2 separate regions of the Mus musculus genome follow, and region 2 is reported to be linked to region 1. Evidence: microRNA targets listed by miRTarBase, many of them from high-throughput screens and not tested one by one. Region 1 holds a microRNA gene; the other region holds the end of a gene's coding sequence.

The links. Region 1 holds the annotated microRNA mmu-miR-3064-3p (UGCCACACUGCAACACCUUACA, at 3,017-3,038, opposite strand). A microRNA usually pairs through its seed, bases 2 to 8, with sites in the 3' UTR of a target mRNA and lowers its output. Matches are read on the target gene's strand: a 7mer-m8 pairs with bases 2 to 8, a 7mer-A1 pairs with bases 2 to 7 and ends in A, and an 8mer does both.
Region 2: the mRNA of Ubn2 is a reported target of mmu-miR-3064-3p. The part of its 3' UTR that is shown has no 7-base or 8-base seed match.

The regions. Positions count from the first base shown.
Region 1 is chr11:106,779,679-106,787,961 of GRCm38, forward strand. It overlaps Mir3064 (microRNA 3064), which reads right to left and starts at 3,081; the gene lies at 3,015-3,081. It overlaps Ddx5 (DEAD box helicase 5), which reads right to left. Exons shown (of 13, transcript NM_007840.3): 2 at 7,231-7,396; 3 at 6,770-6,866; 4 at 6,548-6,681; 5 at 6,389-6,454; 6 at 5,717-5,858; 7 at 5,458-5,618; 8 at 5,202-5,374; 9 at 4,736-4,846; 10 at 4,423-4,484; 11 at 4,281-4,340; 12 at 2,791-3,015; 13 at 678-2,578. The coding sequence ends at 2,172.
Region 2 is chr6:38,501,703-38,509,336 of GRCm38, reverse strand. Ubn2 (ubinuclein 2) reads right to left here. Exons shown (of 17, transcript NM_177185.4): 17 at 1-7,099. The coding sequence ends at 7,050. It overlaps Mir7670 (microRNA 7670), which reads right to left and starts at 2,012; the gene lies at 1,944-2,012.

The DNA.
Region 1 (8,283 bases):
TGCCTCACATTCACTTGTTTAGCTTTTACCACAATCCTGTTACTATAGAGTTAGCATCAGGTTTTCCGAGCTGCCAAACAAAACGAAAAAAACCCCTTCCAAAATGTTGTCCTGGACGGTACTGATGTGAGGCTTAGCGTTCAGTCTCCAAGGGAATGTGTTGTGCACTTTTAGTTTATACTAATGCTGGCAAACATTATCACCAATGGCCACTCCACTCTCTCCCGGGTGTGGCTGGACAGACAGGGTGACCAGGTCTTAAAAAGGGCTTCGGGAATTTATTAACCACCTCCTTAAAAAGAATTTTTTTTTTTTTTTTTAAAGATTTGTGAGTTGCTGTCTTCAGACACACCAGAAGAGGCCATCACTACAGGTGGTTGTGAGGCACCGTATGGTTGCTGGAAGAGCAGTGCTCTTAACCTCTGTACTTCCCTTCTCGTAGAAATCAGTTAATACCTGACTAGGACAAAGGGGTGTTTTTGATACTGGAGTTTGATTATAAGGTGCAGGACTGTTGTGGTAGCTCACTCCTATGTTAACATATGCATAAGGGACAATCTCTGACTTCAAGGCCAGCTTGGCCTATGTATCAAATTCCAGGATAGCTGGAATGGGGAAGGCGGGGGTGCAAAAACCCAGGTAAGAGGCCTCTACGCGAATAAATAAATGAAGAGAATGGGGAGAAAAATCACATTTATTAGTTAAGACAACCACAGGCTGGACACAACACACATGCTAAAAAGTGGACTGTCTTTTAAAACTTCAAAGGTAATTTTTTCCAAGCCCCACAATCATTTCCATAATTATTTACAAAATAAAAGGTCCACATTAAGACATTGAACAGTAAAATATGTAATAAATGCTCCAATCTACACCTATACTTAAAAATCATGAATCTGACTAGCCATGCCATTGAAAACCACTCAGTACTAGAGGATGAACCAGTTTTCAATGTTATCAGCCCTGGAAAACACGCCCAGCTCCCACCCCCAGCACATTCTATTTTGTTTTAACATTTTATAAATAAGGCATTAACAATAAGCCCATTTTAAAAACAAAAAGTTAAATAACTTCCTTTAAGACTTTTGTCCTGGGCAAAAAACACACCAATTTTTTGGGAAGACATTTAGACCTACTTATAGCCATTCTGAAACAAAGCTGTTTGCTGGTGATCCTACTTAAATCTAAAGCTTTCCCCCCAATCCTTCTAGCTGTTAAGCCCATAGTGAACCTAACCCGAAAACTTTACTGTGCTTTTGGTTATGTCGTCTTCCTTGTGACTAGCCTACAAGACCCCTAAAATCCCCTGAAATAATGTGGAGACATTCCTGACTTCCAGGTGTGGCTATAAGCACTCTGGCAAGTCCTCGAGGACTAGGAACCTACAAGGTAATCCTGCACTAAAGACACAGTGCACACAGCTCTTGGGCTAACAGTCTTTCAGCTTCGCACATTTCGGCAGTTGACAACAAAACCAAGAGATGGAATAAAATTTTGATAAAGCAAAAATGTCATTACTTAAAACTGTTTTGCAAAAGAAATCAACATGTATTTATATAGTTACTGTCCTGTAGTTCACTCTTAAGGAAAATAGGCTATTAAATGACTTACTTCCCTGATACTGAAAAATGACAAAGCTTTTATCCAATAAATCTGGAATTATAAAATCCATTGTCTCTAACTTCTTCCCATACAAACAGATCATCCTAAGGGCCTTCTGAGTTCCTCTCCTAAATCCAGGAATGGGAAGTAGTCAACTTTCCTTGTGTAAAAATAAACACCAAAACAAAAATCCCCCCCAAAAACACTATCTAAGCCAAGTTGTACATGACATTATATATGTAAAATAAAGTACAATTTCACTTAATTCAGTCTTCAAATATCTTTTATTGGAAGGCCATGCATTGCCTTCATTTATTGTATTTGAAATCACTGTACAGTTACTTTTGTGAAAACACTGCCTGCATTTTCTAGTACAAAAAAAACCTAAAAATTGTTTCAGGAATGTAGAGAAATATCCAACTTAAATAGCGAAAAAAGTGCACCATAATTACTGCTGCACTGCAGTCATTTCTGCATTTCCCATGTTTCTTAAATAACTATCTTGTCTGATAACACACAATATAAAGAGCAATTATGAAAAACAGACATTTACATATACTTCTAAAGTCTTATTGAGAATACCCTGTTGGCATGGGATAGCCAATCATAGGCGCAGCAGCTGCGGTAGCAGGATATGCATATGCCTGTTGGTTCATACCATTGTGCATATTTGCAACATTACTTCCATATTGCTGAGTGCTATCATAACCGTTCTGGTAAGTCCCTGTTGGATTACCAGTCCTAAAACTGGTCTGTATGCCAGCAGATACAAAATTACTTCCAAAGCTCCCATTGGTGTAATTTGCAGCACTGTAAACACCATTCTGAGTTTTAGCCCCAAAATCTCTCTTAAGCAGATTAGAGTAGCCTCTGTCATAGTTTTCCCTGTCTCTAAAGGTATTAAATCCACCCCTTTTGCCTGCAGAGTATCTGTCACGACGATCGTCCTTCATGCCTCCTCTACCCCTGGAACGACCTGTCAAGAAAGTAAGTGGAAATTGATCAATTTTTATCTGTGGCATAAGTGTGGTAAGATAGGAGAGAGTTAGATAGCTCTATTTATGTTGGGTCTTAAGTGCTTTTAGATTCTTTAGGTTTCAAAATAAGAAGTACTCATTCTTCCGATCCCACTTTGTAGACAAGAGGTAACTGCCACCTACCAGAAACATCTCTTACGAAGATCCTTACCTGAACCTCTGTCTTCGACCAACTGAAGCAACTTGGGATTAATTGCTTGATTAGCTTCCCGAAGCACAGAGATAAGGTCGCTCACTTGCTTTATGTTATTAGGTGTAAAGAAAGTGTATGCTGTGCCTGTTTTGGTACTGCGAGCAGTTCTTCCAATTCGATGAATATAATCCTCTGAGGAGTTAGGGTAGTCATAATTGATGACAAATTTCACATCTTCCACATCTGTAAGGTGTTGCAGTGTGGCAAAATAGCAATGTACGGAGTTTTGCACACCACAACAGCCAGACCAAAAATAAAAAGTTAGACAATTGTATTCCCAAGAAGGTACGGGCTGAAAAAAATACAGTTAAAATGGTTATCCATTTCCTGTAGGAACACCATTGAGGTAGGAAAAAAGGGCAGGGTAGGAAAAAAAAAAAACCAAAACACCCAAAAAACAACAAAAAAATTTGCACATGTCAGCTGTCTTAACACCCACCCACTGACAGCCTATCAAGGGAATGTGTGTTCTCCTTAGCACATTCCCAAATTGACAGTCCCCTTACAGATCATCAAGTGACATCTGAATGCTTCTGCGCAGTAGGGCCAATTAAAAGTTTCTCAGCAATCTCTTCATGTGCTCATTTTTGAGGACCTTTTAACAAAAATGTAAAGGTCCTTTGCATTACACTCATCAGAAGTTCAAAACTCTGGCCACACTGCTTGTCTTGCCAAGACCTTACAACTGCAGCTGCAAGAAAAACATACCTGTCCCCCAAAAGTTGTTTTAATGCACTGTGTCTCGTCTAGGCAAGCGCTTCCAAGAAGCCAGGATTCACTTGAGAATGTGTCTCTCTCTGGCAGGTCTCGACATGACGACTACTGTGTAGGTGAGGGAGGAACTTTCAAGGCACTTTCTTTTCCCACTGACTATGTGTGAGAAGTTGGTCCTGCTCTAGGTCTCATGTGCCAGTACTCACCAATTTGTAAAAGGCTTTTAAAGCTGCTCTCTCCATTTCAAACTTGAACAAAAATTTCATTGAACATTGAAGTTTGGAAATATTTCTTCGACATTTCAGCAAACTCACTGAAACTCAAAGACCCACAGATCACAGTGAACAGTTTGAAACAATGCTGTACCATGGCAATCATGCAAAGCATGGGACAGATGAAATACCACGGCAGTGAACTGTGAGGTAACTTCCATTTTTTTCCCCCGGAGAGAACAGTTTATGGGGCAGAGGTGGTATGTTCTGCCCTTTGAAGATTACTGGCACACTTTCAGCTTTTCACCTCTCTAATCGACTGGAAGCAGCCAGCCGATCACTAGTCCTCCATCCCCCTCGAGTCCTCCGATTGTCATGCCTAGGCCTTGCCACAAAGACTGCACCTTTATGTGAAAAAAACTTAGAAAAAATGCAGGTTAAAGAAAGCAATAAACTTTCTTTAAAAAAAACTACATGGAGATCTTCTGGGAAACCAAGCCATGAATTCGAGTTTGTACTAACCTAGCCCTCTGGAGGCCACATCGGTAGCAATCAGAATAGGAGCTTTTCCATGTTTGAATTCTATAAAGACAACCATGAATAATCATTAATGCAAGCAAATGATGTTATCAAGCTACAAACTAATCTTATTTGAAATACATACCATTTAGAACCCAGTCACGTTCCTGCTGACTCTTGTCACCATGGATGCCCATGGCAGGCCACCTATACCAAGAATTAAATTATCAGTAGTATACCCAACTTAAAACTCTTGTCAAGACTCTACCAATATCTATTCCCACTGTACTTCATCTTGGCCAAGTGTTTTCCCACTAAGCATTGCAACCCAGAGCCTACTACAAGTCACTGGAACGAATCCATACAATTACCCCTATATCACAGCGCATGATTCCCAAAAAACACTAGCCCCAGATCAAAGTACTTTTAAGTCTGCTTTGACTCAGGAAACCACATACCCATCTCTCCTCATTTTTCTGGTAAGTTCATCACATCTTCTTTTGGTTTCAACAAAAACAATAGTTTTATTCTCCTTCTCACTCATGATTTCTTCCATCAGACGAATAAGCCTAAAGATGAAGAAAAACTCACCATTTTTAAAAGGATATAAAAACAAAACCAAACACAACCCTGATTTTTTGCTTAGTGAATCCAAATGTCAAACCCACTAAGCCACCACACATACAGATTTTCAGGTGTATCACTTTATGCGTGCTTGTGTAGTGACTAGGTTCAAAAACTATGAGTGTTTTCCTCATGCAAGCCAAGCAAGTTCTTCATATCACACCAAGCCATATCACCAACAAATGGACTTTTAAAAGAACATATAGCACACTACCTTAATTTTATTTTGAGACAATTTTCAGAATTGATTACTCTTAGTTTATGTAAGATTTTTCTCAATTTGTAAAAATGTAAACTCACTTTTCATCCTTTTCGACATCATGACATACATCCACAATCTGAAGAATGTTATGGTTTGCACTCAGTTCCAGTGCACCAATATTGATATGAATATAGTCTTTCAGGAAATCTTCAGCAAGCTGTCTTACTTCTTTTGGCCAAGTTGCACTCCACATTAGTGTTTGCCTATCAGGCTGAAGATTTAAGGAAGCAAGTTACACTTCAATCTTAAGAGCATTCCTAGAACTGATTTTTATGATAACATAAAGATACTTACTCTTATTTGATCCACAATTTTCCTTATCTGGGGTTCAAATCCCATATCAAGCATCCTATCAGCTTCATCAAGGACAAGGTAAGTTGTTCTTCTCAGATTGGTTTTCCCACACTCTAAAAAGTCAATCAGTCTTCCAGGTGTTGCAATACAGATTTCCACACCTTTAATTAAATAAATAAAAAGGAGTAGATGCTTTAACTATAATACACAAAACCATCATCTCCATCAGTGACAAAGATCCCCCTTTATGGTCACACACCTCTTTCCAAATCACGAATCTGTGGTCCTTTGGGAGCACCACCATAGATGCAAGTAGACTTCAAGCGACAAGCTCGACAATATTCAGCAGCCACTTGCTGCACCTGCTGTGCCAGTTCTCGAGTTGGTGCCAGCACCAAGCACTAAGTTTGAAAAACAAAAAAAAGTGTTTAGTATAAAACAGTTTACTAAGACCCTATGTCTTCGTGTGTTGGGAATTAGAATTCAGGTGGTCATAAGACTTTTTTTTGAGACAGTGTCTCCTGAATTCTCCAGTTTCTACCTCCCAGGCACTATTCTCAGGATAAAATTTTTGTGTGTGGAAGCACATGGAGAAACCAGAAGGCAACTTTTGCAAGTTGGTCTCTCCTTGTGGTAGTTGATCTTGATCAGGCTCATGACAAGTATCTATAATTGGCTGATCCAACTAACTGTCTTTGGATACTAATTTTTTCCCCCCGAGATAGGGTTTCTTTGTGTAGCTCTGGCTGTCCTGGAACTCAGAAATCCACCTGCCTCTGCCTCCCCAGTGCTGTGATTAAAGGTGTGTGCCACCACGCCTGGGCTGGATACTAATTTTAAGTGGCTAGTTTATACTGGCAACCCTATATTCCCTATATGAAAGTCAAAGGAGTTTTAGCAAATATGGTGGGAAACTTAAGATAATACTTACAATAGGCCCATCACCTCTCTCTAGGAATGGCTGGTGGTTTATGTGTACAATGGCAGGCAGCAAATACTATTGAAGAGTAAAAATAATAGAAATTGGATTAAAATAGTTATATATCTAAGGTCACCTCTGCCACAATTTATCAAGTTTTCCTAGACTTACAGATAATGTTTTCCCAGATCCAGTCTGAGCTACTCCAACCATATCCAATCCACTGAGAGCAACTGGCCAGCCCTGAGCTTGAATAGCAGTGGGTTCAGTAAAGTTCTGCCTTGCAATCACATCCATGACATTCGCTGCAACCAACAATACCATTTTAAAAACAAATTTATAAGCAAGGGGGGGGGGGGAAATGAAAGGATAAAGATGAAAGTTAGTCCTTACCAGGAAAGTTTGCTTCATAAAAATTCAGAACAGGTTTTGGACAGTTGTGACCTCTAACTGTAATTTCCTTGCTTCTTCTGTATGTATCTACCTCTTGCTGAAAAACAAATTATCTCAGCCTCAGACTTCTGCCATGCTCCCTATAGCTCAATAAACTTTTAAACATACTTATTTCTAAAAATCTGGACCCATAAATAAGAACTCTACTTGGCAACAAAAATTAATAATTAATTTATAATACTTATTTAAATGAAAATTGAGTCTCTATGAAGCCCAATAGACTGCTAAACCTGTTTCCCCAGTGACAGGATTAAAATAGGGCACCATATATCACAAGAAAAATTCAATGGAAGTGCACCACAAGCAACTCTCCATTTGCAAGGCACCTATTACATTTCCATCTAATTGACTAGAAGCAGTTACTGAGTTACAGCATGAAGAAGCCACATTTATAAACTCACTGCGGTGCGCCTTGCCAAATCAGGGTGTTCTTGATAAAAATTCTTCTCAAATTTGGGCAGCTCATCAAGATTCCACTTCTTTTTAACTAGTTTCTCCCCAGGATTTCCAAACTTCTTTCCAGAGAGGGGTCCTGTTCTACTCCCTCCAAATCGAGGTGCACCAAACCTACACACACACAAAACAAAAGTTGGGCACATTGTGAAAGATACTGCATGAACAGGTTTGCCCTCACATTTCATCTGCTGCCTTTTGATAGAGCCAAAGTGTGCTTCTGGAATCCTTCCCAACTGTCATTCTAAGGACAGCCACAACTGGCAGCGTTTCTTTTCTGAAGTCCCAAGCACACTCTACTGAGGCCAAATAAACATCGTGGGTTTATCAGGTGGCAAACAGCCCAAACATCTGACCAGATTACAAGGACAAGAGTTAGAGCCTCCATCTTCTCTCCCCACAGAGCTTAGGCATTAGCGTCTAGGAGCTGGGCAAGAAGGGAGGAGCTTAGGAAGGTTATTTTTGCCCGTTTTCATCAAAGGACCTAATCTTAAAGAAATAACGGGGCCGCAAAGGCAATGTGAGCAGCTGAACGAGGCTAGCACGGCGGACAGGGTAGAAAGGGGAACAGGCGCCAGCGAGCCGAGTCTAGGGAAACGCCGCGAACGGCTGCAAACCAAGGTAACAAAATTATATAACGCGAGGGAGAAAAAGAGGAGGAGCCGAAAGCAACCGGGGGAGGAGTCCCGGCCCGGGCGGCGTTCCCGCTGGGGCGGCGCTTCCTTCTTTGTCTCGCATTTCTCTCTGCGCCACATTTTCTCGCCGCTGCCATTTTGAGCTCCTCCGCCGGGCGGGGTAACAAAGGCGCCGCCGCCATGTCCGAGGCCGGCATTTTGTGGCTGCGGCTCCGCCACATGGCCGAATCCGCCGGCGTAGGCCACCCAACGGGGCACAGGGGACCTCGAAAGCGCCCCTTCTTTCCCCCGGGGATACCGGAAGGGGGGGCCCCCCTCAAAAAACAACCCAACGAAAGATTGCGCAAACGACGCCGGGAACCGCCT
Region 2 (7,634 bases), not on the chromosome of region 1:
AGAGGCTACTGGAGAGAAAAAAAAATCAACAAAAATCCCAAAAATGATTTTAGAAGGACTAGAGAATGACTAGGTCTGAGCCAGTTCTGGGTCAGCCCAGATGTGCTGGCTGCTTCAGCCCAGTGCTACCTCCTAACTCACCTGAGCTGAGTAATTGCTCCTCAACACCCTGCACTCCACTCTCTCTGACCCTGAATATTCGCTGTCATTTAGACTACCCCCCTCCCGCCCCCACTCTCACATGCACTACTCAGCCCTAACAAAAACTGTAGTACCCATTTGTTCCTGTTGTTATCGTTTTAAAGAGAAAAATGTTATGGATTACTACTTAGTGTGCATGCCTGGAGGGGAAGATAAAATGATGCTAATTTCCTCCCAGGAGTTTGGGAAATCATATTTCCTTCTATCCTGACCATCTTTACCTCTGCCCTAGCTAGGGAGTGAATCCTGTCGATCTTCCTCCCATTTTACTACAACCCGAACAGTTGATGGCTCTGGCTGAAGAAGCATGAAATACAAAGTTAAAAGAACGCACAGCCGCCCTAGTGTAGGCTGCTCATGCCTTATCCCCCAGGCAAAGGTGGAGAGTCCTACTGATGCAGGAGTCGTATGCCAGGATCTGACTTACTCTTAGAAAGGTAAAAAATTAGTTTTCCATCACCAGGCAAGTACTGCAAGGAAATTAGATTCAGAATGTAGACAAAGGAGGCTATAAACTTTCAGGATCATTTATCCATAATTCAAACTTTATCTAACTTTACTTTCACAACCTTTGCAAATATCACACAAGTAATAACATCATAAAAGCTTTAAAAAATCTATTGATAGTTAAGAAACTTAGTGTTCATTCCCCTTTGATTTAATCTGAAACTAATAATTATACCACACAACAAATATGGTATGTTTAAATATCAAATATACATCTAAATTAAAATTCCAGTGATTTTTTTTAACTTAAAGACCATAGGGTGCTCTTTATATCCACTATAAGAAAAACATTTGTTTTTTTCAACCTCTGCAGGAAGATAATACTATAATTATATAGAATGTTTTAGAAAAACAAAATATTTTTGAAATAGTAAAGTCTCTGATATCCCTGGGAGGTAGGTGATTATTATTATACCCAATTGTCTCATGGGTAATCTGAGGCACAAAGGTTAAATGACTTCCCCCTAGATAAAGTAGTTTAGGAATTAACACTCACTACTGATCCTAAGCTGGCTAACAACAGCTTTGCTACAGGAACCTCTTCTTTTAGCCACAAGTCTCCTTTTTCAACTAAAATTTTACTTAAAAGGGGGTCCTTTGTAGATATACAGAGGATCAGTTCAACTTAGTCTTTTTCAACATGTTACATCTAAAAACAAAAACAAAACAGAACCCCCCCCTCAAGTCTTAGATACTGAAAGTTATTTTATTTTGCTCAGGAAAGACATTTAAACAATCATGAAATCAGAGCAAATCTGATCATCTGGCAATAAACAGACTGAACATTTCTCAAGTACGTCCTGATTATACAAGTGTTTCCTCACTGTCTAAAAATCTAAGTTTATTGACGTTTCAGATATACAATTTCAAGATCATTTTCCAGAAGAAAACGTCTTTTAATATTGACATGAGTGCCAACCTCCTCCAAAGTGTATTCAGACACCACCCCATGGTTCTAGCACTAGTACTGAATCTTGTCTGCATAGGGCATCGTATCACCTCGACCAACAAATGCTCTTGTTATCCTGATGCTTTCTCACACACTACTACTGAAAGATTTGAGGGGTAGAGAGAAGTGGATTACATCCAGAAATAGTCAAGGAGTCCACAGAGTTTATTATGTTTGCAATAACCAACACATATGCTTTATATATATAATGCCCTACATATATATATATATACACACACACACACACACACACACACACACACACACACACACATATATATTAACTTCTACAGATATTCAGAAAGGGAAGCCAGCATCATGTGCAAAGACTACTTCCCAATCTGCCCATCTGAATCAACTCAAAGCAATGGAATAAACAAGGCAGAAGTTCTGCAATGTCAACAGGGCAGTGCTTAGAAGGATTGCCATGGCACAGCTGCTCCTGGTTTCATACACGCTGTGTACCTCATACTTGTGTCCACACACACAAAGCAGAAGGAAGAGAATTATTACATGACATGATTTTGGCAAGGCTCAGATTCTTTCTCCTGAATCCCCTGACTTCATCAGTCTGTACTTGAGGGTGTTTGAAAGTTTCAAAAGAGGGAGAAAAAGAAAGAAATAAAAGGCACTTAACAAAGACAAAGGCCTGAATTGAGCATGGTTTAGAGGAGTAATATAAGCATTTTACCAGAGATAAGAACTTATTTACAACGAGATAAACTTTTCCCTTAAAACTTTATAAAATAAAATTGCATAACATGTTTGTGATCATTTATCTACTACTGTACTTTTCTCTGCTTTGTTTTTACAAAACCAAAAGCACCCTGAAAGCAAAACCAAACAAAGAGCCGCACATGCACAACTAGAAATCAAAGTGCCCTTCAGAGAACGTGGGTCAGCAGAAGCACCGTGCTGAAGCACAGGGCAGTGCTCAAGTCCGGCCTGGACTATAGACTTCTTTCTTCTACTTTCAATTTGAAAAATAAAACAAAACAAAAACCAACAAGGGGAACAAATCCCAAACTTCTCTAACAATACGAGGACCAGTGTGCTTTTATAGTACACTCCTAAAGTAAAGTACCCTAGTTCTTCTACACAGGGTCAAAGGACATGACAAAGTCTCCTACAAATAAAGCAGTTAAAGTCAGCCAACACAGGCAAAGATCATCTTCCAATGTAGCAGCAAGTAGGACAATGAGTTCTAGAGACATTCCCAAAGAACAGAGTTCTCATAACCAATGGCAGTCGCAATAACAGTAGGATTTTCATTTTAGAAAGTCTTGAATCAAGGAGAGGTGGGAAGGGCTGTGGGAGAGGACAACAAGAGGAGAGAGAATAGGGGTGCCTACCCTTTCCATCTCTGCATAGTAAACAATTTAGATCTGCTTTGGGAAAAAATATTCTGGATTAAGATCACTTTCAATAAGCTGTTTCCAAGCAGGTGTCAAACCCACAGTCAATATATACCCACAGGTATATGCCCAGTTCTTTCCCCAGTGCTGGGACCCAAATAAGCCTTATTTATTGTTTATGACACAAAACAAGATAATTTGGGCTAATAACATCCATCAAAGGGGTGGTGGGCATGAAAGAATGTACTAATTGAATCTTCTTGATTTCTTCAAAATATCAGGACTTTGTTATTATACATTAACTTGGCTTCTTTTCTCCAAACCTTTTCTCCAGATTGTTTTAAAATCATGATTTTCACTCTTTGTTCTCAGAAGCAGGAGAAGAACTATAATTTGATTTTAGTAGAGATTATTGCTTGCATTTACTTTGGAGGCTCTGAGTGAGCATGACACTTGGCTCGCAAACAGTCTCCAGCTGTGGTCCAGCACTGCTGCCCGAGGACAGCGCTGCTGACTGTTATTGCTTGTGAATACTGAGGATCACCTTTATATACAGTAACAGCTTAGACATCACATCAGTGAAGGCAATTTCAAAGATAAGACAGTTGGAAACAGACAGTTTAATATTCCTGAATCAAGGACCCCATCGAATGGGACCTACGTGTGCTGATTTACTTCTGCATTTGGATGTTGCTAACGTTCTTTAGTGATACACACTGCTCTATAGATATCCTTTCCAGTTATTCACCATTTTAAAAATAACATAATTTGACTTTAAGTGCAAAAATACAGTATGAATTGCAAGTCTCTGTTAAAAAATAACCAACTTATATGCTTGTTTAGTAATAAAAACTGTAAAGACAGGTAACCATAAAGTATGGACACCATTTTCAATGTTATGATATAGAAAGAAATGTATTTACATTTAGAAAGGACTTTGATTCACTTGTATAACATGAAAGGGTTGCTGGACTGGGGATCTGGCAGCAGTCCTTAAGGAGTCAAGACTGACAGAAAACAGGATATATTTTACACAGCATAGTCTCAGAGCCCAGGGTAATCTTATAAAATGACATGGGAAAGAGAACCATCAAGGGTCTTCGTATAGCATGGTTCAGAATCGATGGATTTAAGAACCTACAATTATTGTTTGACTTTTAATATCGATTGATTTATATGAATATGTATGTGTCTGCAAATACACAAATACACAAGTATCAGCAAGAAGAGACACTAACACACATGGACTTCTCTCTGGGTAGAGAAAATGAAGTACAGGCTGCCTTCCTCAACAGACACCCCAGTACAGCAATTTATGAAGTATAAGCAGGCCTGTGAAACGAAGTTTCCTGGTGCTGGCGTAAGAGCTGATCAAGTTTCTCTAAGAGACCTTTCAAATGAACCTTAACGTGCTAAATTCAAGTCAAACTTCTCTGCAACATCCCAATATCTTTCCAAAATATCTACTGGGGCTTACATAGCCTCCTCATTTGTTTTATTGGTAAAGTAAATTTCTACAGTCAAGAAATTATATCAGTGATTACTTTCGTTTGTTTTCCTTTTTTCTTTTCTCTCTCTTTTTTTTTCTTTTTCTTTTTTGAGACAGGAGGAGGGTGGAGGAGCTCCCAGACCGACCTGGAGAGCTGGGATTTTCTACTGCAGGTGCCGCACACAAACAATGCAATGGGGCAGGGAGGGGGGCAGTCGGGGCACAAATGAAACTTGAACTAGGAAGTGGGAGGACTTAGAGCGGAGAAGAGACCATTGTAAAAGGAGGGGTAAGGAGGGGAAATCTATGCTTTTTATTTTAAAAAAGAAAAAGGAAAAAAAGAAAAAGAAAAATGTTAGTAACAAAAGAGGACAAAAAGAAAAAAACACAGCTCACAACCCATTCTGCACCAAACCGGAAGGAGAAGAGGCGCGAAGGAGCCTGGAGCAAGGGGCCCCAGTTTTTTGAAGAACTTTATGAACTTTTTAAAGATTATTTTCATATGGCAGCAAGTGACATTGAAGAACTTGCTGTCAGGGACACCTGATATGGAAGTCCAATAGATTTTTAATTAATTGAACATTAAAAGACAATAAGACAGTTGGAAACAGACAGCTCTCATTGTTAGTCCAGTAGAGACTAGCATGGGACTTGCTGCTAAATACTTCAGGCTGGCCTCAAACCTGAGATCTTCCTGCCTCAGCTTCCTGAATTCTAGGATTACAAGCATGGGCCATCATATCTAGTTTCAATGTTCTTCTAAAAAAAAAATCATCTTCCTTTACTGTAACGAGTTCTTGGAACTAAAGCTTTCAATTATTCATTGACTTTTTTGCTATTAAGCACGCCATTGAAACTTTGAAGTCAAATTATAGGCATAAAAATTGGAGCAGGTCTGCGGTTGGTTATTATAGTCCTAGAGGCTTCTTGGGACTTTTGCTCATCAAAGGAAAATGGGGTCTGGTTAACACTCTTATCTGAATAAACTTAAATGATACAGAGTAATATGTAATGAGATTATAGAAGCAATCTTGTTATTACCAGGCTAGTCTGTCACCATATATAAACTAAATTTGTATCACTCAGAGCTTTTTCTTGGATAGTCTGAAAATACTCAGAAGTTTAAAATTCAAGGACACCACAAACATAGCTGAGGCAAAATAAAATGTATCCCAAGAAAATTGTGTTTTCCCCTTCACACCCTTCATTGCCTCTATTCGCATATGAAAACTAGAATTAACGAATCTTATAATCTGTAGGCTGACTTGAATATTAATATTCTGAGTAAGTCATAGTAAAACTTTTAAGATCCCAAATGCTGAAAACATCCTGCGCTGGGCATGGGTCATAAAGCTTCATTGTGATAGTTATAACAGGTGGTCCTTTGTGCACATCCTGTGCACATCCGTATTCCTATTAGACTTCATCCCTTTAAAAATACCACTTCAGAATGAAAAACAGTCCACTATTATACATACGCTATTTGTTTGACCCATGAAGAGACAGATGCTGTGCACACTCCTGTTTATATCAACAGCTCTAGTCACCTAAAGTACCGCTAGTGAAAGAGCACTGTGCAGGGAGGGAACTGGGAGTTTGCAGTTCTTGGCAGGCTGCAAGAGAGATGAGCAGCAAAGCAGCAGCCCAACAACAAAGACGCACATGTCAAGAGAAAATGCGAGCAGTCACTTCTGCATATCAGGACGAGAAATAACTATTAACCAGTCAATACCAGATGACAAGTGAACTGTGGAAAGGAGTGCAGTACTTACTTCTGAATGGAGGGTGAAACTGACCCTTTTATAAAAAGGGATTATCTACATTTTGTCTCGTAAGAGCACAGGCTCCTTTTCCTGACTTTAAAAACCTAGAAGCTATAGTACTACACATCACTGTGTCACAGCAGCTTTGCTAAAGTATCTTCAGGCCACTGACTCGCACGGGGACCTGCTATATACTGGAGAAGATTCAAGTTTGCTCAGGACATTTCAGGGCACAGTACTCTTCGGCAACTGTCTGGAGAGCCTCATGCAACTGACTGTGGAAAATCTGTCTACTAGACAGACATGACTGAGTCTCCTTAAACTGGGCTAATTCTACTTGTAGCTGCTTTTATTATGCACTTATCTGTAGAGTGTTCAGACCTAACCCCCAGGATGGATGGCCATTTACCCAAATCCTCTTAACTTCCTTCCTTCTTCCCCAGTTTTTTTCCTTTTCTTTTCTTTTCTTTCCTTTTTTTTTTTTTTTTTTTTTAAATACAGTCAGATTGACACTTCTGTGGGTTTGACAGCTGAGTCTGCTTTAAGTTGGTTAACATGGGGGCTTGGGTTTGAAAAGACCAAAGCTCCCTGACTTTGCACAAAAGCATCTCTTCCTCCTGCACTGGCTTTGCTCAAGTAACATTTTCTCTCTTTTCCTCCTCACCACAGTGCTTGGGACAAGCATGTAAACATGGACAGAAACAGCAGCCCTGTGACCGCCAAGACTTCCCATCAGGTCGGTCCCGCCAGCCAGCCAAGTGGTTCCTCTCCCCCTTGCTGGAAAGTCACTGAGGTTTCCGTGGTAACTTAGTGTCCCCTTTACTTTGGCCTCCATCTGAGAAAAGAAACATTAAATTGGTATGTTTTGCACATCGTAAAAAAGCAAAAGCAAAAGCAAGAAGAATCAGTTTATTGTGAATTACATTTCTAAAATGATAACCTTTACCTCACGTGGTGATGGTATTACAGAAGTTGATTCTGTAGACTGGTAGTGACTGAGAACTCTATGAAAACTATCCTGGCAGGTATGTACCATTCCATTTATTTACCTCATAACCATGTTCAATGCTGGGTTCTAAAGCAATCAGATCACACAATGCCCACCTTCAAGGGACCTACTCAATCTTTTGATTTCTTTGGAAGATTAGGCCAGTTTTATTTTCTTATAATAAGTGGAATTAAATATTTTTCCATAACATGGTATGTGGTAATTCCCAAGTATTGTGAACATAGCACATTGGTGGTAAAAAAAAAAAAAAAAAAAAAAAAAAAAAAATGCAGCTATGTCTTTGTTTAGGTCCTAACCTTGCGGTACTAGATGCAAGTCTGCTGCTGGGCCACTTGGTTTCTTTTTTCTTTGGTTTTTATCG